Caenorhabditis elegans: one gene and its partners. The protein of the gene in region 2 purifies or fractionates together with the protein of the main gene of each other region. This does not show direct contact. Each region holds a gene or a part of one and is shown on either strand. Other genes may lie near its edges.

Region 1 (10,598 bases), 1.6 Mb from region 2:
AATGGTAATATTTTGCTAACTATCACAGTTAAAAAAATACATGTTTGAAAAACTAAAGCAAATCACCAAAAAAAATCAAATCTAGGCGGAATATTAACTTGCATTGTATAGTTTCGTGTTACACTATGTACTAAAAAAAGACACTACATATTGGACAAAAACCCACCAATAATATCCTGGAGTTGAGTCAACAGATTGTCCAGTAACTGCCAAATATCCAACGTGGAAAAGAATGAAATGAGTAATAACGAATTGAAGAATTTGCATTGTTGTAATATTCTTGGCAATCCATGCTGGAACCTTGACACCAAAAGAACGAAGCATATAATATCCATACATAATTGAGTGAACTGAGAAATTCATCCATGTAATCCAAGTATTAAATCCCAAATTAGCTTCAAATGACATAAAAGCATAATTCATTGTAAGCACATGATGATACCAATGAAGGAACATCAATGGCTTTTTACGAAGAATAATAAAAAGTGTATCTCCGAATTCAGCAACTTTTGAGAGAACGAAAAGCCATGTGAACATTCCAGAAAGTCCATTATAAAAGTCTCCGATGTGAATGTAAGATTCGAAAAATCCACGGCTGAAGAACTCGTGGAGAAGTCCAAATGTAGTGGCAAGTGATCCGAGAGTTGAGAAAATAGCAAGACCCGCATTCCAGAGATTCAGTGGTCCCGTGAGCTGGAAATAAATTAGTGGGGTTTTAAGTGGGTGGATTGGTGGAAAATATAATTCCCGTTTCAACCGCAATTTTTATTTTGTAGTATATTTCCACTGTTAATTGAGAAACGATCACAATTTTCTTTTAAAAGTTATCAAAGCAGTATTTATAAAAGTTTTTGTTTTAAAATGGATAAAAGCTAAACTTTTGATTAAAAAAAATTGAATTTTCATAAAATGTTTACCGTTTCAAAGAATCTATAGACTCACATCGCATTTCTGGCCCCACTTTCCAGTTCTAATTACCTCCGAATAGTTAAGAAATCACCAAAGATGTACTGTTTCAGACAATCTATTTAGAAAGTAACATCAAATAAATAGTATTTTGTATCTGGTGGCATTAAAAGTAAGAAAATAATTACTGTTTCAGGAAATATTTAATTGTGTGATACAAAATGAGTTCTAATCTACCAGCAATGTATTTTCAATTAATCAAAAAATGGGTTCTTAATTATTTGCAACACTAAACTGTTCAATAATAAAATTTAAATTTTACCGAAAATTTACTGTTTCAGAGAATCTACAAACTTACATCAAATGGTTTTCGGTTTGTCATGACAGCCTTGAGCCCAAAAATAACGACAACATATGCCATTGAGATCCAGAAAGCAGCATACTGAGTCTGTGCAATATGCTTTTTTGAGAGCTCATGACTGAATGGAGCAGTTGTCAGCACCTCAAAGAATGAGACTTCTCCCTGTGGCATTTTTACCTGCAATTTTAAACTTAAAAAAAGGAACTGCCATATGAAGAGTGTGGCTCAAAGTAAACTGCTAAATAAGAACCAGATCTAACAGGTGGGGCTTAAGATTACTGTAGATGGGTACAAGGTACAAGTCTCTAGACTAACATAAGAATACAACAAAGCAAACATTTTGGCTCCAAGAGCCCGAAAGTCACAAAACACGGTCATCACCAACTCCTTTTTATACTTAACCATCTCGTTTTCTGCGTCTCTCCCTCTCTCTCTCTCTTGTAGTGAGATACCAAATGGTGGTCTGATTTTTTTTGTTGGAAAAAAAGGTAAAAAGGCGGAGGCAAGTGATTTTTCGAAGAAAATTCGGAAATTATGGGGCGATGAAAGAGGCGGTAGACGGGGGAAAGAGAGAGAGGGAGAGAGTGGAAGACATTTGTTTATAGGTTTTTTGAAGTGAAACGATTCAGAACACACTCAATGTACGGTCAAAGAATTGTAACTCTATTGATAAGATGTTTTTTATTAAAAAGTAATTGAAAAGTGCCTGAAACAGTAATTAAATTTCGTATATAAATGGTTTTTAATATATTTTTTCATGATTTGTGTATAATACCCAGTAACGGAATTTTGTGATTTGTGCGCCAAAAATACTATACCAGGTCTTGACACGAAAAATTTGAGTTTAATGCAAAAGGCTGTGCGCCTTTAAAGAGTACTGTAATCCCAAACCTACGTTGCTGCAGATTTTTTTAAAAATCGATGTGATTTGCTAAAATTAATGTGTTCTTATTATTATCATTGAGAGATTTTTTAATGAATACAAGTACAATTAATTTTTCCCAAAATACTATGAAAAATCGATAAAAATTAAGTTTTTTATTAAGAAGAGTTTGAATTTCCAGTATTTTCTGAAATAAAAAATTGTATTTTTAATCTTTTTAATCAAAAATTGTATTCTTTAATCTTTAATCCTTTTAATCCCATGACCTGGTATTCTTGGCGAAAAAATTACAACATTTTGTGTCTGGGTAATATCCAGTCGTGAATTCGTGAATTAATTCGCCAAATCTGAAGACTCCACTTCAAAAGAACATTTTTCTCTCGATAGGTCTCGCCACGATCCATTTTGTTGGCGACAGGCGCGACTGCTCTTTCTTAAATGAAAATTGAGATATTTGTTCGCTAGAATGTGATTTTTTAACAGAACATACAAATATATGGTTTTCGTGGCGAGACCAATTTAAAGTAGCACGCGCCTTTAAAACGACTACAATCAACCTGAATACTACATAAAATTGTTTCAGACACTGCAATAAAAAAGCTTTTTCTGATAAATTTTGTGACGTCTGACATTGAAAAGTAGAATAAACTGTGTTTTTTTTCAAAACTTGAAACCAACAATCAACAATCGCCACGTTCCCTTGCAAACCACATAAATTTTAGCAAAGAACCTTGAGAAAAGTTATCGAGGTCAGCATGAATGGTGAATACAAAGAGAATTTCGAGATTTACCGAAAGATACTCGGAGCGGTATCCAGCAGAAGAAGAAAAGAGAGAATCCTTTTTAGATTGGTCAATTGTTGAAAAATTCTGAAATGCACTGGAGTATCTTGAAAATGGAGTCATGGGAAACATGCTATTTAATAACACCAGTCGATTTATTTATGAATGACTGTAATTTGAATAAAAAAAACTAAGGATACAATAATGGAGCAGAAAGGAAACACTCAAGACAATAAAACATTTTACACGATGATATAGAACATGCCAAGTTACAGAATGAAGCTATAATCTATTGAAAGCTAGGAAAAAAATTATTTACAGGAACGAGAATATGGAGACGATCTGGTTTTGCTGCCATCGGCTCCTCTGCGAGTAGTTGGTCTCGTCTGGATAGGCGACATTTGTGCTTTCTCGAGAGACTCCTACAATTTTAAATTTTTTGTTTATATGTAAAAAACTAATAAACTAACAGTTATATCATCCACCGGAGAAGTCTCGTTTCCTCCTTGATCGTTGACAGATTCAGTAGTGGCCTGACTAAGACTTGTGTCACTGTCCTCCGAATTAAACGATTTATACAGCACATTCACTGGATTGAATCCATGCCTATCGGAAACTTTGTCCAGGTGTCGCTTGAGAGTCAACTCTGCTTCGTATGAATCGGACATCAACATGCTCCAGCATTCCATGTTTGCAGCGTGGCATCCTGGGCGCAAGTGACCAATGGTTGCCGATTGGATATCATCAGGAAGTGTGTAAAAAGTGGAAGAATCTTCGAAGCCATCAATGCGGAAATTGGATGGAGCATCGTTTGTGTACTCCAATCGAAAATTAGCCGTGAATTCTTCTGGCAACGGTTCGAGAACTTTTGTGCAGAGGAACTGAACACTGCGAACAATCGTCACCATTTGATCTCGTACGCTGTCGCCACCCTCGTATACAAGTTGAGCAAGCTTTGCGAAGTGAGGATCTTCCTGGCCATTCTTGTCAGTGCTCAGACGAGCAACCACGCCGCCATTCTCAAAATAAATGAACTTCATAGAGAAAACTTCGATGGCTTCAAGATCTCCTTCATTATTTGTGATCACGAGGGAGACTTCTTTCAGAAACCCATCCTTTGTTGCATCCCCAGCATTTCGAAGTAGTTGAGCGATTTGGTTAGACCGTGGGTTTCTGAAGCACAGCGTCATGCATTTCAGCTTTTCTGAAAAAGAACATTTACTATAAAATGTGATAAGAAAAACATTTACCAGTGATGTAATTCTTCGTGAAATATTCTTGTCCAAGAATGTTACGGTTCCTAAGAACAGCCGAAAACGCGACGTAGATTGCTCTGGTCATGAAATTGGATGATCGATCCGGGTCGCTGACAATCCTTGGGAAAAGTTTGGACCATTTCTAAAGATGAAAAAAATTACAATGGCCATAAAACCATGAAAAAAACCTTATCATCAATGGAATCCGCCGATTTGTTGAGCGATTCGTCGTAGATGGTTTCCAAGGGCGCCATCTGCAAAAAAACAGTCTCATTTTTAGGCAAGAGTTTGTAAATGTGAAATATAATATAATTCCTCGAGGAATACTATGCAAAGAAAGAAAAAACCCAATGACAAGCTTAAAATGATACACTAAAAAACGAAAAATTATTTTCGAAACTAGGAAACGATATTTGAATTTTAAAAAACACAGAAAATCGTCAATTTCGAAAGCCTAGGAAAGAATTTTAGGATTTCAAAAATGCAAATAAAATGCTAAATTAAAGGTACATCGGATTGGGTAAGTCCATTGGTCTCGCCACGCAATTACAAAAGCTCAAAACTATTCAAATAATTTTTGACTAAATGCAGCTTTTCCTTTTATTTTAAAGTAAATTTTTCATTCATTTCAAAACTGTCAACAAATTTGATTACTAGAGGTAATTTTAAAAAGTACTATTCTTTAAAAATACGCAAATGCAAGTGAAATTCGCTAACTCGTGGTGAGGCCTAAATTTAGTTTACTGACTGCTCCTTTGATTACTGTAACTTGTTTGCTATTTTTAAAACGGTCTGAATTCTCATTTTTGGACGAGTTTGCCTAAATTTTCTCCTTTCAAGCTCAAAAAACGTTTATCATTGTTTTCAGATGCCAAACTATCGAGGACGTCATCAAACGAGACAGAATTGGAGTTCTAAGCCAAGAGAAGAGCACTCCCCGAGGTATTTGAATAAAAAATGTCATTTTTTCGAGTACTTTCTTTTCAGCAAAGGCGCATACAGGGACAAAATCTGGAGCGGTCCAGTCAGTGAGGTCGCCAGGCAACAAACGTATGAAACTAATTTTTAAATGTTCCTAATTTACTTATTCTTCAGGGTGTACGACTGGGTGACTACAGGTGCTTATTCCCTTGGATCGCCAGACTCGTGGCCATCTTATCCGGACGAAATCATAGTGAGTGCTGTAGTACACCGAAAAAAAGTTAATTTTTCTTGTTTTAGCTGATGAACGAGTCCCGAAATGCTCAGACATCCCGCATGTCGCGTCGGTCGGCTACTCCCGGTCCAGTGAGTTTATTTTCTTCATATTTTCGTTATGAGACAAACCTTGGTTTCAGAGATTGTCACAAGATAGAAGGACAAGAACTACAGCACCCGCCGTTGCGCCGATTCCGTTTCAGAGGGCACAGCCTCGAGTAGAAGTGGAGAGACAAAGAATCGACGAGCCTGTCGCACAGGACCTGATTATCGATGATGGGGTACCAGAAAGTTTCATTGAACATTAGCTGTAATGTATTTTTGTAGAACGGTACCAACAATTCGAACGATTCGAGTATTTGTGGCTTTGTGGAGGAATCCGAGGAACTCGTATATCCACAGTGAGTATCTAAATCAATTAATTAACTGAAATTTATCATTCCAGGTGGGTTTACTATCTGTACCCATTGATTCCTACCGCGCCTAACTGCAACAACGAGAAGTCGTACAAAGAAGGTGGCAATTGGTACAACTCTCCATGAATGATCTCCCTCTCCAGCTTCTCTCAATCTGTCATATTTCTTATGCCTGAGTTGCTCCTCATTTTAAGAATGTATCATTCTCATATTATCTGTCATATTCTCACTCCCATCATGCCCGTAATCAAACCCCCGTCATTCATTTTTCTCTGTACCGGTTAAGAAGTTCTAACATTGTATTTTCCATGATTCTAAGTCAGGAGCTTTTTCCCCATTATTAATCCATAATACGATCGAAGGTTATTTACCATCGATGATTGGAAGGTTGAATTAATTTCACATTGTTTTCTATGAAACGTTCATCCGATCCTCATTGACCATTCGATCCTTTGTTATATTTTCCCATTTTTACTGTACCCATCACCTCATACGCATCCTTTTAGGCTAGAAGTCTGCATTAGCAGAATAACTTTTGAGCTTTCACCGAATGTCTGTCCCATGTCTGCTCTCTCTTTTCCTTTTTGTTTTTGTTTTCCTCTGGTCAATGTTTCAATTCCTTCTGGTTTTTTTGAATCACAATAAACATTCTCCAGAAAATTGTCTCGATTCTCACTTGTTGTGTTGAAAAATATTCACGGAAATCGTTCGGGCAGTAGGTTAGAATGCGGAATTCAAAATCCTGGAATAAAAAATAGTTATGAATCTGTTACATGTGATCTTTGTTGTATCACTGATCACTATTCCCGTGTTCCTAGCTTCTTCACATGCTTCATCATTCTTTGAGCTCTGGTAACTTATTTTGCATGGCGTGTTATCAGTGAGTTGTTGAATGGTGTGACATGAATTTCCGAGAGAAAAACTATAGAAAATAATTATGTATTTGGGGACTTTCGAAGTACAATGAAATGGGGGAACGAAGCATAATGGAAAAAATGATATAAATTATATACTATCCTTATTAATTATTCTGCAATCAAATATGGAAAAGATCACGCAAGTTTGGAGGAAAGATTGGGAATGGAAATTGACTAGATTCGTTCGGAGATTCAGATGAATACTTCGTCGATTATTGAATACTGAGCACGACCCGGTTGAGGAATGAATTCGAGCCAATCTGATGGAGTATTCGGTAGAAGACCCATTGTATGTACTTTATAGATGGCAAGACCGATTGCTCCGAGGTTTCCAAGGCAGAAGATGAGCTTGTGAATAAACATTGATCCAGTTGCAGGGCTCTGAAAATGTTAGAATATTTTTTTGTTTAACGCCTTCTCCAAACAACAAAAACTAAAAGGTACAAAAACCAGTACTAATTAGCTTCAAACTATAGTTTGTGGGAACTCGCAACTTACCTCAAGCGGTTTGAATGTGGAATTGACTGCGAATAATGCTTTCAGCGGCCTAAACACCATCATTCCGACCATCATAATTGGGAAAATCGACACACCGCCTCCGGCCATATACATCATGAACATGTTCATCGGCAGAGATTTAGCTGGTCCCATTGCAGTGTCCCATACTCGTTTTCGTGCCAGATGCTCGTGTTGATCAGCGGATCGATCGGCTTCGGCCTGAAAATTGAGAAATTATAAAATTAAGGTTTTAATAATAAGCAGATTTTTTTCTTTCTTAATGTTTTTTAAATACACAATTTTAGCGAATAACTGTTTTTTTAAGACTTTTCAATTCTCGAAGAAATTCAACTCACGCTATGTTGAACGGTGGCAGCTGTCGAGTAGAAGCCTGGCGGGTTAAAATTACTGTCCGCAGTACGACAATTCTTCGAAGAGTAAGTGTAGTCAAGTTTCCAAGCCGATAGTGACATTCTGGAAAAGAATTGAATATTTAAGAGCAAGAAACAAATGGCAATGAAAATTAATGAAAGAGCAAAAATCGATAAATACGCCAGGTGGTTGCTGACGCGTTCTTTGATCGCGTTGGCGCACTCTCGGTGTCGGCATAAAATTTAAACTGATATTTTTCTTCCCTCGGCGTTTATTGTTGTTTTTGTTTTTTCTCTCGGTTTTATTTATAACTTTTATAAATTTTTCAGATCAAGATATGAGTGGAGCAGTTTATGGAGGAGGTATGGGAACTTTGATCTTTTAAGTTATAGATAAAACGCCGTTTTCTTTGCAGACGAGGTTAGCGGCTTGGTTTTCGATGCCGGATCTCAATCATTCCGCGTGGGATTTGCTGGAGAAGAATACCCAAAGGCAAGAAACATTTCAAGAATTGATAAATTTATACCTTCAAATATATTATTGCTTTATTTTTTTAGGGAGATATTCCATCATACATTGCCGTTCAAGAAGCACTTCCTGATGATACTATTGAGAAACAAGAGGCTATGGAAGAAGTACGCAGTTTCAATTTTTAATTCATTTTCAATGAAATCATTATTTTTAGGGTGATAACTCGAAAGTGCAAACAAAACGCGAGAAGAATTTTTTCATCGGAACGACCAAAATCATTGTGCCACGCGCCAGAACTAACATGGAAAGTTTTATGAAAGAAGGATTAAGTGAGTAATTTGACAGAAGTTAAAGTTAAAGTTAAAAACAAAAAAATGCTTTTCAGTCGAAGATTGGGAGTTGTTCGAAAAGATTGTGGAACATTCGTATGAGAATATCCTCTACTCCAATCCATCTGAACATCCGGTTTTGTTTTCTGAAAGCTCGGTAAGAACATTAAGGATTATTTAATAAGAAACACTTGTTTTCAGTGGAATGACCGTGCTCGTCGGGAGAAGCTGACTGAGATCATGTTCGAAAAATTCCAAGTCCCTGCGTACTACCTCTCCAAGAATGTTGTTCTTTCCTGTTTCGCACAAGGAAGAACGCACGGATTGATGGTTGATTCTGGAGCAACTCAAACTTCAGTTGTTCCTGTTTTCGATGGCTACGCAGTGACTCACGCGGTGGTAAAATGTCCAATCGGCGGCGATCTCATCACAGAACAACTGGCTCAAATGCTCGATCAACAGAAGATTGATGTTATTCCGACTTATAGAATCGGTGGAAAAGAAGAAGTTAACGAAGGAGAAGCTCCAAAATGGACTCCAAGGAAAAATCTACCACAGGTCACGAAAAGTTACGATGCATTTATGAAAAAGATGCTTTTGGAGGATATGGCAGCCACTATGCTCCAACTCTGTGATACAAGTATTGATATGGACTACGTCGACAAACTTCCATCGACACCTTATGCTTTCCCTAATGGATACACAAAAGAGTTCGGAGCCGAAAGAATCAAGCTTCCAGAGTGTTTATTCGATCTTGGATACCTTAAAGCTGAGGGAAAGAAGGATGGATTGATGACAGTGGCTCAAATGGCAGCAGCTTCTGCAAATCTTGCAGATATTGACATCAGACCGACACTCTTCTCGAACGTCACAGTCACTGGAGGAAACTCGTTGATTCTTGGATTCACAGAACGGCTCAACTATGCTCTAGCCACAAAGTGTCCACCGGTAATTCTTCAAAATTAAATAACGCTTATAAAGAATAAAATATTTCAGACGATCAAGCTCCGAGTATTCGCTGCTCCAACTCAAGCGGAACGGAAGTACGGCGCATGGATCGGAGGATCAATTCTCGGATCTTTGGTGAATAATAAAAAGTTTAAAAATCTTATTTTAATTCCATATTTTTTGTAGGGAACATTCCAACAAATGTGGGTGAGCAAGGCCGAGTACGACGAGAGTGGAAAATCGATTGTCGAGAAGAAGTGCCCGTAAAAACTTTGTTTTAAAATGCTTTCAAGTATTTATTCATTAATTTATCAATTCTCTCGTGTATTTATATCTTCTCCGATTCACAAGTTAATTCGAATCGTCGACATCCAATAATTTTCTCTCCTCGATCTCAACCAAGAGAACCCCTGAATTTTTATATTTTTTCTTTGTACGATTTTCTATTTATTCTGTGTATTTCGAAAGTTGTGAGCTTAAACTTATTCACATTTGAAATAAAATTATTGCTGATTAAAAAGCTAATCACAAGATGTTTTAATAGGATATCGATCCCGAAAAAGTTTCTATATTTATTTTGTTTTGAAATTTCCGCCATCAAATTGTAACATTTTCCCGATGCCCATCTTTTCGTTAATACGAAAAATGCAATGCCACGTCAAAGATGAGGTACTGTACATTGGAAAAAAAGAATTCGAAGAGCCAATAAAATCGGAATGGGTTCTAGAAATGCAGAATACAGAAAAATACAAAACAATTGGTAATAATTGAGATAAAAAGCAGGAAAACTTAATTTTTCTTATTTCCAGGACCAACGTTTCCAGATGGAACAATTAATTGGCAGTGTCCATGTATGGCAGGTGGATCTCTGGTAGCACATAGGTACCTTCACCAGATTAAATAAATAATATCTTCCGGTGTAGCTCTTTCTTGTGATAAATAAACAATACTATTAATATATTTTAAACCTCGAATTTATCCAGGTGCGGCAACTTCTTCCGAGAGCTGTACATTTGTATGAAAAGCGACGACACGAGAGATCCATCGGAAAAATGTCCAAATCAATTTGTAAATTGGGCCGCCTGTATGCAGAATATGAGTGGTTGGTTAACGAATTATATTTTAGAAAGATATAAAAAAAATGTAATTTTCAGATGAACGACGAGAACAAATGCGGAAGGCGATGACTGTGGATACGGAAGAATTGAAAATTAATCCGAAATAATATTTTTGTATTATTATTTATATTTTTCTAAATATTA
Region 2 (10,411 bases):
ACTGTCCTAACAATAAAATGAAGAATTTGGACGATTAATTTTATTTGTTTCTGAAACAGTGAAAAATATCTTGTACTACATGTTGTTAATGCATTTCTTTTCGCCAGATTTTGCATAGCGAAAACGCAACAAAATGTGAACAAATTGTATGTGACAGATTGAGATTTGAAGATGAATTTGAATGGCACATCTCATTTGGAAGATGTTGGATTTTAGATCTTTATCATCTCTCCGGATTTCAATGAGAAAATGAAAATGAAATTGAGACACAAATTACAAATTAACTCGTTCTGGAGTAATCAGGATTATTCAATTATTCAACAAATTTTGAAAACACGACTAGAATATGTAAATTTTCAGTGTCCAAAACGTCTTGAAGAAGGAGAAATCAGTGTGATGGCTGCAAGAACTGGAAAAAGATATCATCCATCGTGTTTTCGGTGTCAAACGTGTGATGTTCTACTTGTTGATTTGATTTATTTTGCACACGACAATCAGGTTAGGAATTTTTTAAAAAGTAATTTTTACTATCAGAAATTGAATTTTTTGGAAGATATAGACAATGTGTCAATGGTCAATACATATAGTCAATTTTATATAATCAACAACAACCCAAACATTTTTAGATTTGTCAAAAATGTTCGGTAATAGTTTTGCCTAATTGTCAAATTTCTCATTTTAAAATTTGATTTAAAATTGAAAAATTTCGAGAATTACTGCAGACTCATCATCTCTACAAAAAAAATTTTGGGATGTCTTACGATGTTATTTGATCATTCTATTTTGAGACCGTGATAAAAGTTTTATAAAAGTTTATGTTTTTTTCACAAAACAGTAAAAATTTGCAGATCTACTGTGGAAGACACCATGCTGAACAGGTCAAGCCGAGATGTGCCAAGTGTGATGAGGTGAGTAGCACTATTTTTGTACTTTATATTCCCTTTCTACTATAACAATTGAACCATCCATTTTATGGCCCCCTTACACTGTTTGCTTTGAGTTTCCGATACATGTGGTGTGCAAACTTTTATGATAGGCGATTTGGTGAAACACCAAGCGCCGGCGGTTGGAGGAGAAAAAAGTGTCGCAACTTGAAATAATTGAGGACAAGAAAGCAAAAAGAATAGTAAAAATAGTTTGGAAAAGAAGAAAAGGGAGATTTGCTAAGAAACATTTTTGAAAATTTGAATTTTTGGTTTTTGAAACATAATTTGTAAAAAAGAAAACGTAATTATACCTATAGATATAATTCAATTTGGTACGTGTGTACTACAGTGCGTCCAACTTCTATAGCACCCCCCTCCAATTTGGCGGTATGGAGCCTCTCAAAATATTTTTTGAAAAAGTGTTAGTGCAGTTCGATAGCAAATGTTGAAAAACCTATGCTCCCCAATTTTCATTATGATATCTCAAAAATCACAGGAATTAGGTCAAAATATCGGAAAAATGGCCGTCCAACTTCTATAGCACCCCCTCTGATTTTTGGCAATTTTCGGTAAAATCGGGGTTTTCTTCTTAATTAATAAGTTTATTTTGTGAATAACTTTACACCAAAATAATCAGACGGTTTCATTTTCACATTTAAAAAATAAATATAACCCCTGAAAACACGTGGAACGCCTAGGATTGTCCTGGAACGTTCGTATTTGCTTCAGAGGCCATTTCTCGGCTCCCAATGATTTTCGCAGCACCAAACTTGACCAAAATAATCTTCCCCACCTATTTATTACTATTCAAATAATTGTTGAAAACATTTATTCATATGAACCAAATGGTAAAGGGAGCAACTGCAGTGATTTTCAAAAGGCTTGATTTAACTATGAAAACTAGCGTTTGGAGGCGCAGAGCTGATGGTTTTGACTTCCTATTGTACAGAATTTTAGCTCATCCGGTTCAAATATCCTTGAAGCTTTGATTTTGATTAGAAGTCTTCGAAAATTTATTAGGAAAAGTTCATGAGACCGCTCAAAAGAGGACAAAGGCAAAGCGAGGCCGCAAGTATTTTTCTCAAGCTAACACGCGAAAATTTTAAAGACGAAAGTAAGATATAACTTTCTGAATGACGATTTTTCTAGCTGTATTTATAACTCAACTGAAATTTAGCGAATTTGCTCATTGAATATTTCTATGGTCAAAGAACCTAAAAACTAACAGACAAAACCTGAATCGGTGATTGTAGATGTTTAGCATTTGATGTATCCATGGATTTCCACAGATTTGATGTTCACATAATATAATTTTTATTTTTTTGCTATAATTTAGTAATTTTTAGTCGAAAATGTATTACCAACCTTCAGCTCTGCGCCTCCAAACGCTAGTTTTCATAGTTAAATCAAGCCTTTTGAAAATCACTGCAGTTGCTCCCTTTACCATTTGGTTCATATGAATAAATGTTTTCAACAATTATTTGAATAGTAATACATAGGTGGGGAAGATCATTTTGGTCAAGTTTGGTGCTGCGAAAATCATTGGGAGCCGAGAAATGGCCTTTGTAGCAAATACGAACGTTCCAGGACAATCCTAGGCGTTCCACGTGTTTTCAGGGGTTGTATTTATTTTTTAAATGTGAAAATGAAACCGTCTGATTATTTTGGTGTAAAGTTATTCACAAAATAAATTCATTAATTAAGAAGAAAACCCCCGATTTTACTGAAAATTTCCAAAAATCAGAGGGGGTGCTATAGAAGTTGGACGGCCATTTTTCCGATATTTTGACCTAATTCCTGTGATTTTTGAGATATCATAATGAAAATTGGGGAGCATAGGTTTTTCAACATTTGCTATCGAACTGCACTAACACTTTTTCAAAAAATATTTTGAGAAGCTCCAAACCGCCAAATTGGGGGGGGGGGGGGGTGCTATAGAAGTTGGACGCACTGTAGTAGCTGCACCCTAACAATTTTGTGTTAATAATTCCAATAATTCCAATACTATTTTCTGACTCGTGGGACAAAAAATACATAAACGATTATATCTTTTTTTAGTGCAATTACGGTAGAAATCCTTGGCAAAAATACATGCCTCCCTCTTCAATTTCAGATTTCTAGAGTGTCTAGTTTATTTTGGAACTTTTTTCCTAACCTCCAATTGTGCTTCTTCGAAATTCACGTTCACAATTGTAATTCTCGTAAATTTGTGACCCCACCAGTGAAAGTTGCGCTTTTCCAGATGCTTCAAGGTTCTCCCGATATTAAATTTCAACTCCCAAAGTTAAAACGGCCGCCAATCAAAATGCAATATGATTCAAATATCTTTGATTTTCAGGTCATCTTCGGGGATGAATGCTTAGAAGCTGAAGGACGATCGTGGCATTTTCATCATTTTCAATGTGCACAATGCAATGATGTTCTAGCTGATCAAAAATATATGCAGAGGTATACAATTTAAACCCGAAAAAGTATTTTAAACCATTATTTCCAGAGCAAACAAACCCGTGTGCTTGAAATGTTTTCACTCATCTTCATCAACATTTTCATGTACAACATGCCGTCTTTCATTCTCTTCTGACACTCCACATATGTCACAAGGAGATCTTCATTGGCACGCGTCTGCGGAATGCTTTTGCTGTTGTGTTTGCTCCAAAAACTTGCTCGGCGTGAAATATTCGCGAGTTGGTGAATCCCTATTTTGTGGATATCAAACATGTGGTGGAGAAGACGAAGAGTTGCTTGATGAGGATCGGTTGGGTTCGCCGCATCGAAAAGTGACACAAAAATCCACAAAAGTGGTTCGTATCCCAGCTTCTCCGAGGGTTGCACCACGTCATCCTCATGTCATTCAACAGAATTTGACGACGACAATGACGATTCAGAAACCAAGTGTGGTTATTCAAAATCAACGACCAAAACCACCACAAAGAGCTCCTCCACCTCCTCCATCAGAAAATATATATGAAACTGTTCTACCATGTTCATCGAATAATAGTCCAAATTTCGATAAGAAGTACTCTCATGAGGTAAGATAATTAACATTGTAATTGAATTAGGTTTTTAGTTTTAAATACCTACTTGAAATATTTTAATACCATAAAAAACGATAAATATCATTTGCTTTTTCAACTCTTGTTATTATGGAGGACGCAGGAAAATGCCCTGTTGATATCAAACGCGCTTCACTGTCAAGTGAAACGTTCCGCCCCCAAACTATGGGTCTCGTTAGGTATTTGGCGGCAATAACGGTATATTCAAAAGATGTTCACTCCATCTGATTGGTTTAAGAGTAGGCGAAGCAAATCTCTAGTTTGTTTTGCAGTTCTTTTTTTAGAGGAGAATTGTAGAGAGAGGGAGATAGAGAATAGCAAGACTTGGAAAATAGAGTTTTTATTTTTTTTGATTTTTTTAAATGAATCTCTTGGCCCTGGGAGACTATTTCGAATATTTCAAAGTAAAGTTGGCTGTACTGTTTCTTAAAATGAGAAAACTCTAGACCAACAATATTTCAATTTTCAGCTTCCTACATCTCCTAACCACCATAATTACTACTCAAAAACACCAAATAATCTGCTTACTGGGTATCCCGAAATGGATGGATATAGTACATCATCTTCGTCGGATTCAGATGATGAACAGCTTTACATTTCAAATATTATGGCAGCCGCCTCGTTGAGTAGAGTAAGTTTTTAATTTATTCCACACTATCAATTTGAGATTTTCCAAACATTCAATCATAAAAAATTCAGGTTCCTGCAAAGTCTTCCAGTCGTAAATCAAAGAAAAATGAACCAATGATGATGTCGGGAGGCGGTGTTCGAATGGCAAAGAAAAAGAAAAGTTCCAGATGTACAGTATCTTGATATACTTGTCCAAACATTTACTGAATTCCTGAAAAGCCCATGTGATTCTTTTATACTTCTTCTTCAATTTTAAGCCTTTTCCTTCGTTTTTTTCTGCACGGTGAATTGTCCCATTTTATTAATTCAATATTGAACCTATTTTTAACACCCAGCCAACAGTGCAAGTAATGTAAAACTTATTTCAAATGAATATTCACTTCTCATTTGTCCGAATTCCAACACTGCTTCAATGAAATAAATTTATCTGAACTGGATTTGAATGTTTGGTCCATTTCAAAATAATTTATTACGCTACTTTTTTCTAAATCTACGAAACACCAGACTTACAGTGAAAGAAAAATAACTCAATCAAACAGATGAAACTATACGTGAAGAAGATAGATTGATATCACACAAGAGAAGACAAAAGCACGACAATCAATGAAATTATAAAAACAATGGCTAAAAATATAAAACAAGAGAAACATTGCACATGAGTGAAAACTTTTCGACTAGTCCTTATTCTTCTTCGTAATGCCCTGACTGAGACCGTAAGGGGAATCTCTGGAAATTCGTCCCTTCCTTTTCGATTGGTTTGCCATGATTGACATATTTGGATTGAGTGTGGTCGTTTTATCCAGATCGAAGTCTTGCTTCAAGTATTGTGAAGCAGCAAGCATTTGAATTTTGTGATGACCGCCACACACGATTCCAATAGATGCTTTCCTAATATCCTGATTCAGCGTATAGAACATAGGACTCAGCAGATAGCCTTCGGGTGTATAGTCTTTTGGAGCTTCTTAAAATAACAGTTAGAAATAGACTAAAGCTGTGAATGTAACCTACTTTCAGTGTACGAAACACGGAAACTCGCGTCGGACCCTTGAGGAAGCGGCTCCATTTTCTTGATACACCGGTGAAGTTTCTTGATTGTGCTTGCAAACATTTGTTTCGTGTTGTCGGTATCAACGAATTTCGCCTGTAACAGTTCTTGACTGCTTTCGTTCGTGTCGATTCCGCTGAAAACAATTGAAAACGAATAATTGAATAAGACCAGCAGCTTACTTATTTAGAGATACGAAAATCTCTCCTTCATCTCCATAAGCAAACCTGAACGCAAACACTTCATTAATGTCTTCCTCGTTTGGCTTCTTGTAGAACACGATTGCGAACTCTCGCAAATAGCCTTGTTGAATCGCATCTCTCAATCCGTCGAATGTTGAAGACACACGCTTTGCGGCAGGAACACTGCTCTGGAATGCGGTGACCAACAGTTTATCTGTATAAAAATATTTGTGATACATTGTAAAATAAGCCATACCTATTGTTCGAGTTTTGAAGCATTTTTCGTCCAAAATGCCACGGCGATCGAGAATGAAGGCCGAAGCACATTTTATGTAGCGAAGCGCAAACATTTCAGAATTTTTTTCAATCTCTAGATCAACGGGAAACGTGGCCTTCCACTGGCTGGCTATAGGAATTTCAGACTCGCGGTGCTCAACAATCTGCTCTTTCGTCGCCATCGCAAACCTACAATTACTGAAATATCATCGTGAAACAAATTAAAATGTTTAAAAAATAATATCTATAAAATCTATAACAAGTTAAACATATTATTTAATTATAAAACCCCGCATTGATTAAACATATTTTGATTTGAAAAAAAAAACTAGAAAATAGGTAAAATAAATCTGGAAATAGTTCAGAAACTTAGAAATTATTAAAGGCGCATGGAAGTTTCAGATCTACGGGTCTCGAAACGAACAACTCGACGCGAACGCGGAAGTTGCAATTTCGATCTCGTCCCAATTTTCTTTTCCGTTTTCTTACTTTTTTGGGTAAATTTTGCGTTTTTTTGAATTCTAATCTCGAAAAATTTTTTAAAAATTTAAATATTTATTTCAGTTTCATCCATTTCACATGGAGGCTAACAAGCGAGAAATTGTGGATTTCGGTGGGCTGAGATCCTACTTTTTCCCAAATTTGGCCCACTACATCACGAAGAATGACGAAGAACTGTTCAACAATACATCTCAGGTTGGACTATAATATTTAAAGACCGATTTTCTATTATTCAATTTCAGGCCAATAAGTTGGCTGCTTTCGTGTTGGGAGCTTCCAAAGACGCTCCTGGAGACGAAGACATTTTGGAGATGATCTTGCCGAACGACGCTAACGCTGCCGTTATTGCTGCTGGCATGGACGTTTGTCTTCTTCTCGGAGATAAATTTGTAAGTGTGAATTAAACTTATTGTAATCAATTATAACGTTTTAGCGTCCGAAATTTGATGCTGCTGCTGAGAAATTGTCAGGATTGGGACATGCTCATGATCTGGTTTCTGTCATCGATGACGACAAGAAGCTCGGAATGCTCGCCCGTAAGGCCAAGCTGAAGAAGACTGAAGACGCTAAGATTCTTCAAGCTCTTCTCAAAGTAATCGCAATCGATGATGCCGCCGAAAAGTTTGTTGAGCTCACGGAACTTGTCAGCCAACTGGATCTGGACTTTGATGTTTATGTCCTAACTAAAATCCTCGGACTTATCTCTGAGGAGACTAGCGACGAGGTCGACATTATCCGTGATAACGTCGTCAACGCATTTGATAGCTGCAAGCCGTTGTTGAAACAGTTGATGTAATTGTTGTCCTTTTCAAAATAATTCGATTTTTTTTTTCAATTTAGGTTGGATGGTCCGAAATCTGAACCTGCCGATCCATTCATTAGTCTCCTCATGGATCCACTCGAAGAGTCTGTTGGGAAAGTTGTGAACCATATCGCTCAACTTTTCGAGGAAGCGAGTAAAAATGAAGGAGACGAGTCACTTGTCTTGAGATCTCAACTCGGATATCAGCTCTTTTTCCTTATCGTTCGTTCACTTGCAGATGGAAAGCGCGAGGTTTCCAAGAAAATCCTCTCTGGGATTCCTACGAGTGTCAGAGCGGAAGTCTTTCCAGGATTGCAAAGAAGTGTCTACAAGAGTGCGGTGTTCCTCGGCAATCACATCATCCAAGTTCTTTTAGGATGTTAGTATTTTCGTCTTTGTTTACTTTTAAAATCTAAATATTTCAGCTAAGAAGTCTTTTGAGGATTGGGATGTTGTTGGAGTCGCGAAAGACTTGGAGAGCGCCTGGAAAAGACGAGCCATTGCGGAACTTATCAAGAAGTTCCAAGTCTCAATTCTAGAGCAATGCTTCGATAAGCCCGTTCCACTGGTGAGTTAATGATTCTATAAACATTACTTACATGACCGTTTTTCAGATTCCTCAGAGTCCACTAAACAATGATGCGGTGATCGATAATGTGAATAAAGCTCTACAGTTTGCACTGTGGCTTACAGAGTTTTACGGATCCGAGAATGAGACTGAAGCGCTGGGCGAGCTTCGTTTCTTGGATTCCACTTCAAAAAATCTTCTCGTCGATAGCTTCAAGAGTGAATATTCCTTTTTTTATCTCCTGTTAACTTTTTAATTTCAGAATTTGTTCAAGGAATCAACTCGAAGACTCATGTCACTCGAATTGTTGAATCACTGGAGAAGTGTTGTTTGTCCGATACACCAAGTGGCAGAAAGAGCAATGTGCAACCATCCACTTCCCAACAGCAGGATTCCGCCTACACGAAAGAGGAAATGACGACGGTTCACAACACATACAGCGTAAATACTAAAGCTCAAGTTCTCAACGGTCTCAGTGATACCAATTCTTCCGGGTTACTTGTCGATTCAAAGGATTCACTCAGTCTTCAGGAGATTTCTTGTGACGAAGTGGATTCTTCGACTTTGCTAAGCTCATCAAGAAACATTGGAGAAGGTGTTACTGTAAAAGCGGTCGATCCTGTCCCAGAAAAGGTTAACGATGCACAACAACAGCAAACAGTTAACGAGATCGAGATGGCTTCGGATGCCAATCAAGATACTTCTTCAAGTGCTTCGCCAGAAGTAGCGCCAAGTTTTTCCACCGATGGCTGGGATTCTCCAACGAAATCAGTAGCTCTGCCACCGGTATCGCGTTCATCGTTTCAGAATTATAAAAATATTTCTTTCAGGGCATGCAGCAGATAGATGAAGAGGAAACCACAGTTGCTGACAAAGATTCTACACCACAACCACAAGCTCGTGCTGAAACTGCATGGGGGTCAGGCGACGCTACTCCAATGCCTCTTCCTGCCCCGACTAATCAATACAAAGTCAGTGGATTTGGGGAAGCCAAAGTTGCAAAAGGATTCGGTCAATTTGCTCCCACCAGTTCAGCTTATGGAGGAGGAGGTGGTCGCGGAGGATATGGCGGTGGAGACCGTGGAGGCAGAGGTGGATACGGCGGAGATCGTGGAGGTAGAGGTGGATACGGCGGGGGAGACCGCGGAGGACGAGGTGGATACGGCGGAGATCGTGGACGTGGTGGTTACGGGGGTCGTGGTGGACGCGGAGGTTTCTAAACTCCAACTATTGAATGTTTAATTTGTTTTTTAAGTATACACTTCTTGTATACTTACACGTTTTACGCACATTATTTATTCTAACAATCTTGTTGTAAAATCCCTAAAACCTTGACTGTCATTTATTATTTATTCAACCTGTTTTTCCTTGTTCCCGGTAAATGTTTGAACTAGATTGTTGCAAGAAATTAACTCAATTAATTACACGTATATCTCTTTCTGCGGCTTGATGAGAAAAGTGATGTCTGAATCGACGGTGCCGAATGATTGGTGGATCATAAAATTAACAGGTGGCACTGCATGCATTCTTATACAATTTCAACTGATCTTATCATACATTTACGCATATTAGAGTTGTAAATCGTTATGAGACATCTGCATTCGAACATAACAAATACCGTATTTCTTCTATTAATATGGCTGCAATACTATTTTTCGATGGTCTTCCCGCTTGCAATACTAATAGGGAATGCAAGACTATTAGGGAGTGCAATACTAATTTTCAGAGCATTTTCTGACTTTGAGCTTACTAGTTTTTTCCTGAAAAAGCTCGAATCATATGTAAAAATTCAGAAAATTTGATTTTCATATAAGTTCAAAAACTTCGATCTCGTAGAAATGATGTGAAAACTGTTGCAAAATAGGCAAAAAAATGTTGAAATCCTAAAATTAGCGAGACGGGTTTGCAATACAAAAAAGTTAACGCAAGACTACTAGAGAGTGCAAGACTAATAGGGTGTGCAATACTAATTTTCGGAACGTCTCCGAGGGGCAATACTAATAGGGAGTGCAAGTCTAATAGGGAGGCCATATTAATAGAAGATATACGGTAATATACATTTTCATAAGATAATACAAATTGTAATAAAACAATCAGTTCACACAGTGTAGATCATTTGGAAATCGTTTTCTAATCTTAAAATCAATTGATTCGCAGAAAACAGGATGTTGTTTATAAATAAATTCACCTCGCTTCACAACCTTCTCTTCCAGTACTTTCGAAAATTCAGAGTCCATTTGACTAGTAGTGTATGGCCTGAATATTCTTATCCAAGATCCAGCCAAACTCGTGGAAGCAGTTGTACGGTAATGTCTGACATATCCTATTTACCGTGGAGCTGTCTTTATTTTACATTCTTCATGTTGTCGAATAGTCTAATGAAATGTAATTGCATGAACTTTTGTTGGTTGAAAAAGTGATTTAAATG
Region 3 (10,443 bases), 560 kb from region 2:
ATGAAAATCGTTTTTTTTTCTATTTAAAAGATACGTGAAGCTCCATGGAGAACAAAAAAAACTCCAGACTGGAAACCGAAGTGTTTGGATATCGTCCACTTGATACACTGCAACTTTTTCCTCACGAGGGACGAGGAAAAGTGGTTTCTAGGCCATGGCCGAGTCCCCGACAAATTTCAGCGGCCATTTATCTTGCTTTGTTTTCTGTGTGTTTTCTTTCGTTTTCACCGATTTTTTTCCGTTTTTTCTTATCAAAACTAATAAATAAATATTTTTTGCAGATGCTAAAACAATTTCCAAGTGAAAAAATTGTGAGTTCAGTCGGCAAGTAGCGGTAAAAGTGGTCAATGTAATATGATGGATTACGGGAATAAAAAACCCAAACTTTTTCCCAAACATGATACATATGCTGTTTAGATGCTAAAAGTACCTGATTTTCATAACGAGACCGCTGAAAAAGTTTTGAGATTTTCATAATTCAACATTTTGTGCCAAAATCTCGACTTTTTCACAAAAAAAGTTGAATTTTGAAAATCTCAAAACTTTTTCAGCGGTCTCGTTTTGAAAATCAGGTACTTTTAGCATCTAAACAGCATATGTATCATGTTTGGGAAAAAGTTTGGTTTTTTATTCCCGTAATCCATCATATTACATTGACCACTTTTACCGCTACTTGCCGACTGAATTCACAATTTTTTCATCTGGAAATTATTTTAGCATTAACAAAAATATTTATTTATCAGTTTTAATAAGAAAACACGGGAAAAATCTGTGAAAAACACAAGAAAACAAAGCAAGTACAAAATGTCGTAAAATGCGGTGTATTGTGTGCAAACACCGATTTTTCGCATTTTTTCTCGGCCCTCGTTCGAAAAAAGTTGCAGTGTGACACAAAACCTGTCTACACTTTAGTAAGCATAGGATATGTCTATGCCAACAAGGATCATGTACTGAGCAAGACGATCGATGAAGCTTTAGAAGGAGTTCAGGTTCGGCCGTAATTAAGCAATTAAATCTGAAAGTTTGTAAATTCTTTATTCACAGAATTTAAATCAATTATTGTGCAAAAAGGGGCCGGGGTCTTCATATAACATGGAAGAGGTTGCAATACTCTTTCTAATGTTTTCTAGCAATATAATAATAATAATAATAATAATAATACACGTGAGTGGGGGTTAGGATAATAATGCAAATGAATTGCCTATATCTAGTAAAAGGACATTGATTGGAGCGCTTCGATTATCTTCTTGCCCGACGAGAATCTTTCGAGGCGATTGGCGTTTCGCATGACTCGTTCGCGAATCTTCTCGAGCCACATGCCGTACATCTCCGCTTGCTTCTGATCTCGAGCATTCTGACCGAGAACACAAATCTGGATCATCTTCTGAACAACGTAGTTTCCATATTGATGGAAGAGCAGAATGTCGAGAGCATCGCGATTGGTATCTGGATGTGGAATGTAGCCTTCGAAGATCTCGTTCATCATCTCGGCAGCCAGACGGCATGGAGCACATCCGAACGCCACTTCGACCACATGACTAGCGTACTTCTCCTGAGACATCGAGAGCAAGTTCTGCCTGCAAAATTGGAAAAATACATTTATAAATTTGACTATAGAACATACAGAAGGCATTGCTCAATGATAACATCTCTGTAGACAGCCATCGCGTCTCCACATTTGATTACGTGTTGAACAACGTAGTTCGCAAACTCATTGGAAGCCAGTTGAGAACAGTTGCGAGTGACTCCTGACATCAAACTTCGAAGAAGAACGACGCGTTGTTGGTAGCATTCCGCGTATGTATCAGAAGACAGAGTTTCAACGGTCGATTGAATGACACGGCACCCATATTTGTCTTGGCACACGTGAATGAGATTGTCGTCGTCGGCGAAGAACTCCACGACGAAACTCCACGCAGAGACTGGAAGCGTCTTGACGATTTTCTGAATCACGTGGTTTCCGTTTTGATCGATGCTGAGACGGACGAGGTACGTGTCACGGAGCTCCAAGGACAAACGAGTTGCAAGATGAACGTCAAGCTTCTGGATAGCCAGTTGAATGACTCGGCACGCACTCTTGTCAAGGCAGAGATTGTACAAATCACTAGCCAAGTGCTCCGTAAGAATCTCCTGCTCCTCAGTGTTCGAGCACTCCAAGACACGTTGCACGAAAAAGTTACCAAACATGTTACAGCAGAGCGACAAGAAGATAGCACGATCCTCCACCAGTTTACGGAAGAGTTTCTGGTGGATGTCATTGTCGCTCTCCGTTGGATAATGCTCCTGAAGGAATCGACATCCATTCTTATCAGTGGCAAACTCCACGAGAGCGTCGTTGGCGAGCACATCCGGAAGAGTGACCGAGTCCGAAACATTTCCCTCGCCGTCGCCAGCCCAGATTGGAAGTGTGCATTTGTAGCTGCGGGTGCTCGAGCTGAAAATAGGTTAATTTTTTGAAAGTTTCTAAAATTGAGTCTCCATGTCACTTTTCCAGAAGAGCGTTTTTAGCGTGTTTTCAGAACTAACACACAGTTTTTCGAGTAAAATGACGCTGGAAAATTTAAAACTTACTTCAAAGTGTTCGGGGACGACGCGTTGTTCTCCAAATCGATAAGTCTCAGGGCCTGTTGAGGATGACGTGCCGGAGTCGTCATCGGTGTAGAAGTCCGCCATTTGGAAAATTGTCCTCCAAATCCTTGACGATACGGAGTCGAAGCATTCTTTGGTGTCGATGAGACGCGCTGAAATCCCATCGAAGAATCCACATTCCGGTTCGGCGTCCAAATGTTGGAGCTGTTCGAGTTGAAGCAACCGCCGAATGTGTTTTTTCCGGACACATTGCGAGCCTCCGTCGTTGGCGGACTCTCGTGGTAGCGACCGAGGTTAGAGGAACCGGTGCTTTGACTCATATTGGTACGGAGACTAACTGAAAATATTTTTTTGGGAAAAATGGTCGTTTGAATGGACGGAATACGTGGAAAATACGATAGAATTAATGAAAATGAGAGCAAAATTTTGGGAAACGTCCTCGAAGGCAAAAAATGAGCAGAAATGAAGAAATCAGGAACCAAAATGCAAAAATTCGCGCGTTTTTAAAACTAAAATCCCAAAATTTCCCGCGCAAAATGAAATAAAGTACTGTAGAATTTTAAGGCGCATTTCGACGTTAAGCCTATAGGTCTCGCCACGATTGATAAATTTTGGCACAGAATACGAAAAATTCTTGTTTTAAGCGTATTTGAGCGCTATTTTTTTGTTAAATCAAAGAACAAAATTAAATATAATAATAGAATATTTTCAACTGCAACGCGGATTCATGACCCGAATCAGTGGCGCGGGCATCTACAAACTTCAAGAACTCAGTTCCACGACTTATGGTTACGATCTCGGGTTGACTGCAGAATTAGCAGAAGCTAGTAGTTATGATTATGAGCTCATGAAGCATGTCCGGTTCCTGGTGCTTATTGCAGAAAATTTTTAGATTTAAATGCCAAAAGATATTCGGAGCGGGACTCAGCAAAAGAATACGAATCCTTCATACAATTAGATCGGCCAATTGATGGAAACTATGGAATACATTCAAGTATCCTGAAACTGGGACGTGGGAAAAATTCTAACAACACCAGTCAATTTATTTACGAATGACTGTAATTTTAAAAAGAAAACCAAGGATACAAAATGGAGCAAAAAGGAAAATAAAACTCTAGACAATAAAACATTGTACATGATGATATAGAACATGCCATGTTACAGGATAAAGCTGTAAACTAATGAACACAACGAGAAAAATTATTTACGGGAGCGAGAGTATGGAGAAGATCTGGTTTTGCTGTCATCGGCTCCTCTGCGAGTAGTTGGTCTCATCTTGATAGGCGACATTTGTGTTTTCTCGAGAGAATCCTACAAATTGAAACTGTTTGTTAATGTGTACAACACTATTTAATCTAACGGTTATATTATCAACCGGAGACGTCACGTTTCCTCCTTGATCGTTGGCAGATTCAGTAGTATCCTGACTAAGACCTGGGTCGGTGTCCTCCGAATTGAACGATTTATACAGCACATTCACTGGATTGAATGCATACATATCGGAAACTTTGTCCAGATGTCCCTTGAGAGTCAACTCTGCTGCGTATGAATCGGACATCGACTTGCTCCAGCATTGCATGTGTGCAGCGTGGTGTCCCGGGCGTAAGTGACCAATGGTGACCGATTGGATACCATCAGGAAGTGTGTAAAAAGTGGAAGAATCGTCGAAGCCATCGATGCGGAAATTGGATGGAGCATCGTTTGTGTACTTCAATCGAAAATTAGCCGTGAATTCTGCTGGCAACGGTTCGAGAACTTTCGTGCAGAGGAACTGAACACTGCGAACAATCGTCACCATTTGATCCCGTACACTTTCGGCACCCTCATATCGAAGTTGAGCAAGCTCCGCGAAGTGAGGATCTTCCTGGTCATTGTTGTCAGTGCTCAGACGAGCAACCACGCCGCCATTCTCAAAATAAATGAACTTCATAGAGAACACTTCGATGGCTTCAACATCTCCGTCATGCTCGGTCACCACGAGGGAGATTTCTTTCAGAAACCCATCCTTTGTGGCATCCCCGGCGGCTCGAAGTAGTTGAGCGATTTGGTGAGCCCGTAGGTTTTTGAAGCTCAGCGTCATGCAACTCAGATTTTCTGGAAAAAAACATTTACAATACAATGTGATAAGAAAAACAATTACCAGTGATGTAATTCTTCGAGAAATATTCTTTTTCGAGAATGTTACGTTGCCTGAGAACAGCCGAAAACACGACGTAGATTGCCCTGATCATAAAATTGGACGATCGATCCGGGTCGCTGACAATGCTTGGGAAAAGTTTGGACCATGTCTAAAATTAAAAAAATTAAAATAAGCATAAAACCATGAAACAAACTTTATCATCAATGGCATCCTTCGATTTGTTGAGCGACTCGTTGTAGTTATTTTCCAAAGGCGCCATCTGCAAAAAACAATTTGAAGACATTTTTAGGGCAAAGTTTAATTTTTGAATTCAAAAAAAAGAATGCAGATGATGCGTAATTAAAGGTACATCGGATTGGTGCAACCCATTGGTCTCACCACGCAATTACAAAAGCTGAAAATTATTCAAATAATTTTTGACTAAATGCAGCTTTTCTTTTCATTTTAAAGTAAATTTTTTATTCATTTCAAAACTGGCAATAAGTTTATTTGCTAGAAGTAGTTTTAGAAAGTAATATGTTTTAAAAATACGCAAATGCAAGTGAAATTCGCGAACCCGTGGTGATACCTAAATTTAGTTTACTGACTGCGCCTTTGATTACTGTAGCCTGTTTGCTTGGTTTCGAAACGTTTTGAATTCTCATTTTTTGTGCGAATTCACCTAATTTTTCTCCTATTAAGCTCAAAAAACGTTTTCCATTGTTTTCAGATGCCAAACTATCGAGGACGTCATCAAACGAGACAGAATTGGAGTTCTAAGCCAAGAGAAGAGCACTCCCCGAGGTATTTGAAATTAACAAAATGCCATTTTTTCGAGTACTTTCCTTTCAGCAAAGGCACATACACGGACAAAATCCGGAGCGTTCCAGTCAGTGAGGTCGTCAGGCAACAAACGTATGAAACTAATTTTTGAATGCTCCTAATTGATTCATTCTTCAGGGTGAACGACTGGGTGACTACAGGTGCTTATTCGCTTGGATCGCCAGACTCGTGGCCATCTTATCCGGACGAAATCATAGTGAGTGTCACAGTACAACGAAAAGATCTCATTTTTCTTGTTTTAGCTGATGAACGAGTCCCGAAATGCTCAGACATCCCGCAATTCGCGTCGGTCGGCTACTCCCGGTCCAGTGAGTTTATTTTCTTCATATTTTCGTTACGAGACTGATCTTGGTTTCAGAGATTGCCACAAGATAGAAGGACAAGAACTACAGCACCCACCGTTGCGCCGATTCCGTTCCAGAGGGCACAGCCTCGAATAGAAGTGGAGAGGCAAAGAATCAACGAGCCTGTCGCACAGGACCTGATTATCGATAATGAGGTACCAGAAAAGTTTCATCGATTATTAGTTGTAATGTATTTTTGTAGAACGGTACCAACAACTCCAACGATTCGAGTATCTGTGGCATTATGGAGGAATTCGAGGAGCTCGTATATCCACAGTGAGTATCTAAATCAATGAATTAACTCTGAAATCTCTTTTTCCAGATGGGTTTACTATCTGTACCCATTGATTCCCACCGCGCCCAACTGCAACAACGAGAAGTCGTACAAAGAAGGTTCCAATTGGTACATCTCTCCATGAATGATCTCCCTCTTCAGCTTCTCTCAATCTGTCATATTTCTTATGCCTGCGTGGCTCCTCATTCTTTCTCATATTGTCAGTCCCATCATACCCGTAATCAAACCCCCCCTCATTCAATTTTCTCTGTACCGGTTAAGAAGTTCTAACATTGTATTTTCCATGATTCTATATCAGGAGCTGTTTTCCCATTATTAATCCATAATATGATCGAAAGTTATTCACCATCGAGAATTAGAAGTTCGAATTAACTTCACATTGTTTTCTATGAAACGTTCATCCGATCCTCGTTTACCATTCGATCCTTTGTTATATTTTCCCATTTTTACTGTGCCCAACACCTCATATGCATCCTTTTAGGTTAGAAGTCTGCTAATTAGCAGCATAATTTTTGAGCTTTCACTGAATGTCTGTCCCATGCCTGCTCTCTCTTTTCCTTTTTGTTGTTTTCCTCTGGTCAATGTTTCAATTCTTCCTGGTTTTTTTTGAATCACAATAAACACTTTCCAGAAAATCGTCTCGATTCTCACTTGGTGGATTGAAAAGCGGATAGTGTGAATCGAAGTATATTCACTGAAATTGTTCGGTCATTAAGTTAGAATGTGGAGTTCAATTGAAACAATTCCTAGATCAAAAAAATTTCTGTGCGACCTTGGGTTTGCAAAGATTACGGGTCGATCGTTTAATTTCAGGGTATGGACCATTTCTTTCGAAACTTTCAGATTTTGTATCGCAGCTAATATCATCCGAAAAAGTAAAAAGTTTTATTTAATTGAAATGGTAAATAAGAAACTCAACAAGAAATAACAGCAACAAAAAAGGTAAATTTTAAATAGGGAGAGATCATTCAAAACAATTAGAATTACTTCTGCTGTTGAAGTTCCTGTAGAAGCCGTGCAGCAATCAGGTAGGCGAGTCGAGAAGACGTGTCTTGCTCGGCGAGCTCTTTGATCTGAAATTATTTTTCTAATTTTTTAAAACTGAAGAAACAATCGATACTTCATAAGGCTGACTCATTTCATAGCATGTTGTCAGTGAATTGAGGTAGATCGAGATGGAATAATCACGAAGAAGACGAACACAGGCAGCGATTCTGACCATAGTTACGCGTACGTCGGGAGGTACAATCTGAAATTTATTTTATTGCGAAAAAAGCCAAATTTTTTTGTTTTTCTTTTCGATTATGATGATCACGAGTATGATGAATAAATTATAAGGTCTCGTCAATCATTGGAATTATTATAATTTCTCGTTGTTGAGTCACCAAATATGTGCGCTAATTGTTATTTTCGATTCATTTTTCTCAAGAATCACTATCACACCTGAAACTCGTGAACATGTGATCCATCCTCTTCAAGTGTGGTCTCCGGCAACGACGGCGTGACCCACACACTTCCGTTGCAGCCAATAATCACAGCCATTCCGTAGGGTAACGTGTGAAAATGTTTCTTGGACTTTTTGATCAAATGTGGAGGAACCTGCAAAAAAAAGAAATTAATTCCGTGACTTCCCACTCATTTTGTGGATTTTTTTGTCGCTTTATTTATTTTGGCAGCATAAACAAAAAAGAAATATTGCTTTGAACGAGATGTCGCATAAGAATGAGAAAACTCAACACTTTGAAAAGGCGGAGGATATTCGTACAAAAGTGCTCGATTCAATGATCTACCGACTCGATGAACGTGCAAATATGGTTATCACGGAGGTTAGCTTTTCATTAATTTTTTTTGAAATAGAAAATTATTATTAAAGAGCCCAATTCCCGAATGGCGTGCTTATACACAATGGATTCTCATTGCTGCGTTGCTTGTAATTTTTTGTATTCTTCGTTATGGCGTCGAGACTGTTGAACTGCATCCAACTGCAAAGAAGGATCAAGATCCTGTGATTGAGTACAGAGATCGAGAATTGAATAAAACTTCTGAGGCTTTTAGAGCAAGACGCCGTACGTGAGCTAATTGGAATCAATTGGATGATGAATTTAAAGAAATATAACAACTTTCCGAACTATTATTTAAAAATTTATAATTGCGTTTTCTTAAGATTTTATAAAATATTACCTTAATCAATATTCCTTGTTGCAATTTTCCGTACTTATTATTTCTTGTGTGTAGCATAAGTGTTCCGTCGTGCTGGACTTGTTGGACTTCTGCACAGATCAGTTCTCCGTTTTTCAAGAATTCGCTCATTTTCTCCTCATCTTCTACATCTTTTCTGCGAAAGTCTCCTCCTGGCAGGAGAACTGAACCTAGTGGAAGATTTGCATGAAGACGAGATGCCACATCACACTGAAAAACAATTATCGTTATATTTTTCACTTAAAAATTTGAAACCTTCCACCGTTTTGCTTGAACCTCCACGACACGGGCAACTACAACATCTCCGACTTCACCAGCATATCGTTGTTTAATAGTTTTAACCATCAACAGTCGATTTAATTGTTGAACGACTCCAGAGAGAGAACTGACGATTTCTCCGTCGCGAACGTAAGTTCCATGTCCTCTGAAAATCTTAATTTTTTCATTTTTCAAAAAGATATAACAGTATTTTACAATATACATACCTCATAAACTGTTGCGGTGCATCACAAACTGAATGTCCTGGAATAACAATTTTTGTCTCATCAATATCATTTCTTGCTTCGGACATTGATAACATCATCCATGGTGATACGAGGGGTGGACCGGTGACTTCGAAACTCATTTTTTAAATTTTTTTTGTCTGCAAATAACCAAATTTAAATAAACTTAAATTAAACAAAGAAACTGAAAAAAGCTTTCATTCGAAATGAAAATAAAAATAATTATTTCCAACGACACTCCGAAATGACGGAAAGCGTGCTGTTTATCGTAAACCCACACGTCACTCAATTGGCGCCTATTCAAATGTTGATTTTCGACCATAAAAGTGCGAGCCAATTGAGCGTGCAAATTTAATTGTTTCTGCTAAACCAATGACGATGAAAACCCGAAATTGAAATAAAAATAAGGTTCGACACGAAGCCATTGTCTGACTTTTTATAAAGGTGTCATTGGAAGGAAGTGTGAGTTGAATGGGACACCTATAATTTCGACTTGCATGCGAACGGGAAAAATACAACAAAAGAGGATACGTAGAAATATATTGGAGAAAAACTGAGTATTTAAAACAGAAGTAAAAATCGTAAAGGAAAAATTTTCAAAACTTTGGTGGTTTATTGTGCGATTTTTAAATATTTCCTAGATTCCGATTTTGCGGGTTTATGTACTCTTTTTTATTTAGGTTGACTGTAAAAGTATTCTTCTCCATCTAAAAATTAAAAAAAAAACATTTTCAGACGGTAGACGGTCATGTGGAACTCTTAGAAAAAAGTTTTGAAATTTTGAAAAAATTGAAAAAAAATCAATGTTTCTGAAAAAACATTTATAAAGTTACCATTTTCTGATTAACAATGTTCGAATTTTCGAATTGGTATTTCTTATTTTGATTGAGAGTTTTATGAGAAGTATTGAAACATATTTTTGATATTATTCTTAAATTTCGTTAAAAGTTATTAAAAATGCATATGTACCCGGAATATTGTAATTGAGCCAGTATTTGAACAACTTCTCAAGAACTTCAACTAAACATTCGGTTAATTTCAGGAAAATCAATATTATTTCTTCTGTTCTATTCATATTTCAGATTGAAATCTTTCACAGAACAGTGCAAATTTCCTAAAAAGAATGTGTCGCAAAAGAAAGGTCCACATATTTTTCTAGCAGTTGTACACTTGCTCCATATTCGAAGCTCATTTTTTATTTTTTGTTTTATATCAAAAATTGTTAACTGACAACTAATTGACTATTTACTTTTCTAAAATTTCCCATAAAAATAGTAGTAGGAGTCTTACAAAAGCTCCCAGAAAAATTTGTAAAAAATCGAAAAAAAAAAACACTGTTTCTGATACACTATTTACAAAATTGTGGTTCATCGAAAACAATGTTTTCAAAATATTGTATCTAATACATCGAGGCATTGATTAATTTTAGAAGTTATAACTTGGTTGTCTTTAAATTTTTGAACAACTGTCAACTGGCAACTTATTGATTATTTAATTTTCTAAAATTTATCAATTTTACAGTTTGTAAACTGTTTTGAATGAATTGAGATA

The links.
Region 1: the proteins of him-3 (region 2) and htp-1 purify together in Caenorhabditis elegans (affinity purification with western blotting; 2 studies listed by BioGRID, with this or other methods). This does not show direct contact.
Region 3: the proteins of him-3 (region 2) and htp-2 purify together in Caenorhabditis elegans (co-purification; one study listed by BioGRID). This does not show direct contact.

The regions. Positions count from the first base shown.
Region 1 is NC_003282.8:5,387,116-5,397,713, forward strand, and holds htp-1 (HORMA domain-containing protein), read right to left. Parts: upstream 4,443-10,598; coding exon 4,377-4,442; intron 4,331-4,376; coding exon 4,183-4,330; intron 4,137-4,182; coding exon 3,403-4,136; intron 3,355-3,402; coding exon 3,244-3,354; 3' UTR 3,074-3,243; downstream 1-3,073. Other genes in the region: elo-6 (Long chain fatty acid elongase 6), read right to left, coding at 167-693, 1,265-1,438; ZK616.5 (uncharacterized protein), read left to right, coding at 5,057-5,130, 5,176-5,238, 5,284-5,362, 5,410-5,475, 5,526-5,666, 5,713-5,786, 5,831-5,927; perm-3 (ER membrane protein complex subunit 4), read right to left, coding at 6,911-7,099, 7,217-7,435, 7,573-7,689; swsn-6 (Actin-related protein 4), read left to right, coding at 7,926-7,950, 8,004-8,080, 8,146-8,223, 8,274-8,388, 8,445-8,545, 8,590-9,336, 9,385-9,471, 9,523-9,603; ZK616.3 (CHCH domain-containing protein), read left to right, coding at 9,955-10,096, 10,146-10,218, 10,320-10,438, 10,491-10,561.
Region 2 is NC_003282.8:6,973,409-6,983,819, reverse strand, and holds him-3 (HORMA domain-containing protein), read right to left. Parts: upstream 6,313-10,411; 5' UTR 6,295-6,312; coding exon 6,093-6,294; intron 6,051-6,092; coding exon 5,837-6,050; exon of another isoform or gene 5,791-5,836; coding exon 5,618-5,790; intron 5,571-5,617; coding exon 5,284-5,570; 3' UTR 5,055-5,283; downstream 1-5,054. Other genes in the region: prkl-1 (LIM zinc-binding domain-containing protein), read left to right, coding at 361-498, 849-908, 3,265-3,374, 3,421-3,955, 4,449-4,610, 4,679-4,792; Guanyl-specific ribonuclease pgl-1, read left to right, coding at 6,502-6,609, 6,677-6,808, 6,856-7,002, 7,047-7,405, 7,454-7,794, 7,841-7,983, 8,030-8,201, 8,246-8,769 and 1 more.
Region 3 is NC_003282.8:6,414,074-6,424,516, reverse strand, and holds htp-2 (HORMA domain-containing protein), read right to left. Parts: upstream 4,996-10,443; 5' UTR 4,989-4,995; coding exon 4,923-4,988; intron 4,878-4,922; coding exon 4,730-4,877; intron 4,684-4,729; coding exon 3,950-4,683; intron 3,901-3,949; coding exon 3,790-3,900; 3' UTR 3,619-3,789; downstream 1-3,618. Other genes in the region: puf-11 (PUM-HD domain-containing protein), read right to left, coding at 1,208-1,577, 1,625-2,434, 2,572-2,909; Y73B6BL.23 (uncharacterized protein), read left to right, coding at 5,439-5,512, 5,561-5,623, 5,669-5,747, 5,794-5,859, 5,910-6,050, 6,098-6,171, 6,218-6,314; Y73B6BL.22 (Nitrogen regulatory IIA protein), read left to right, coding at 7,900-8,016, 8,064-8,264; exos-2 (Exosome complex component RRP4 homolog), read right to left, coding at 7,174-7,263, 7,311-7,439, 7,634-7,789, 8,372-8,599, 8,645-8,813, 8,875-9,014.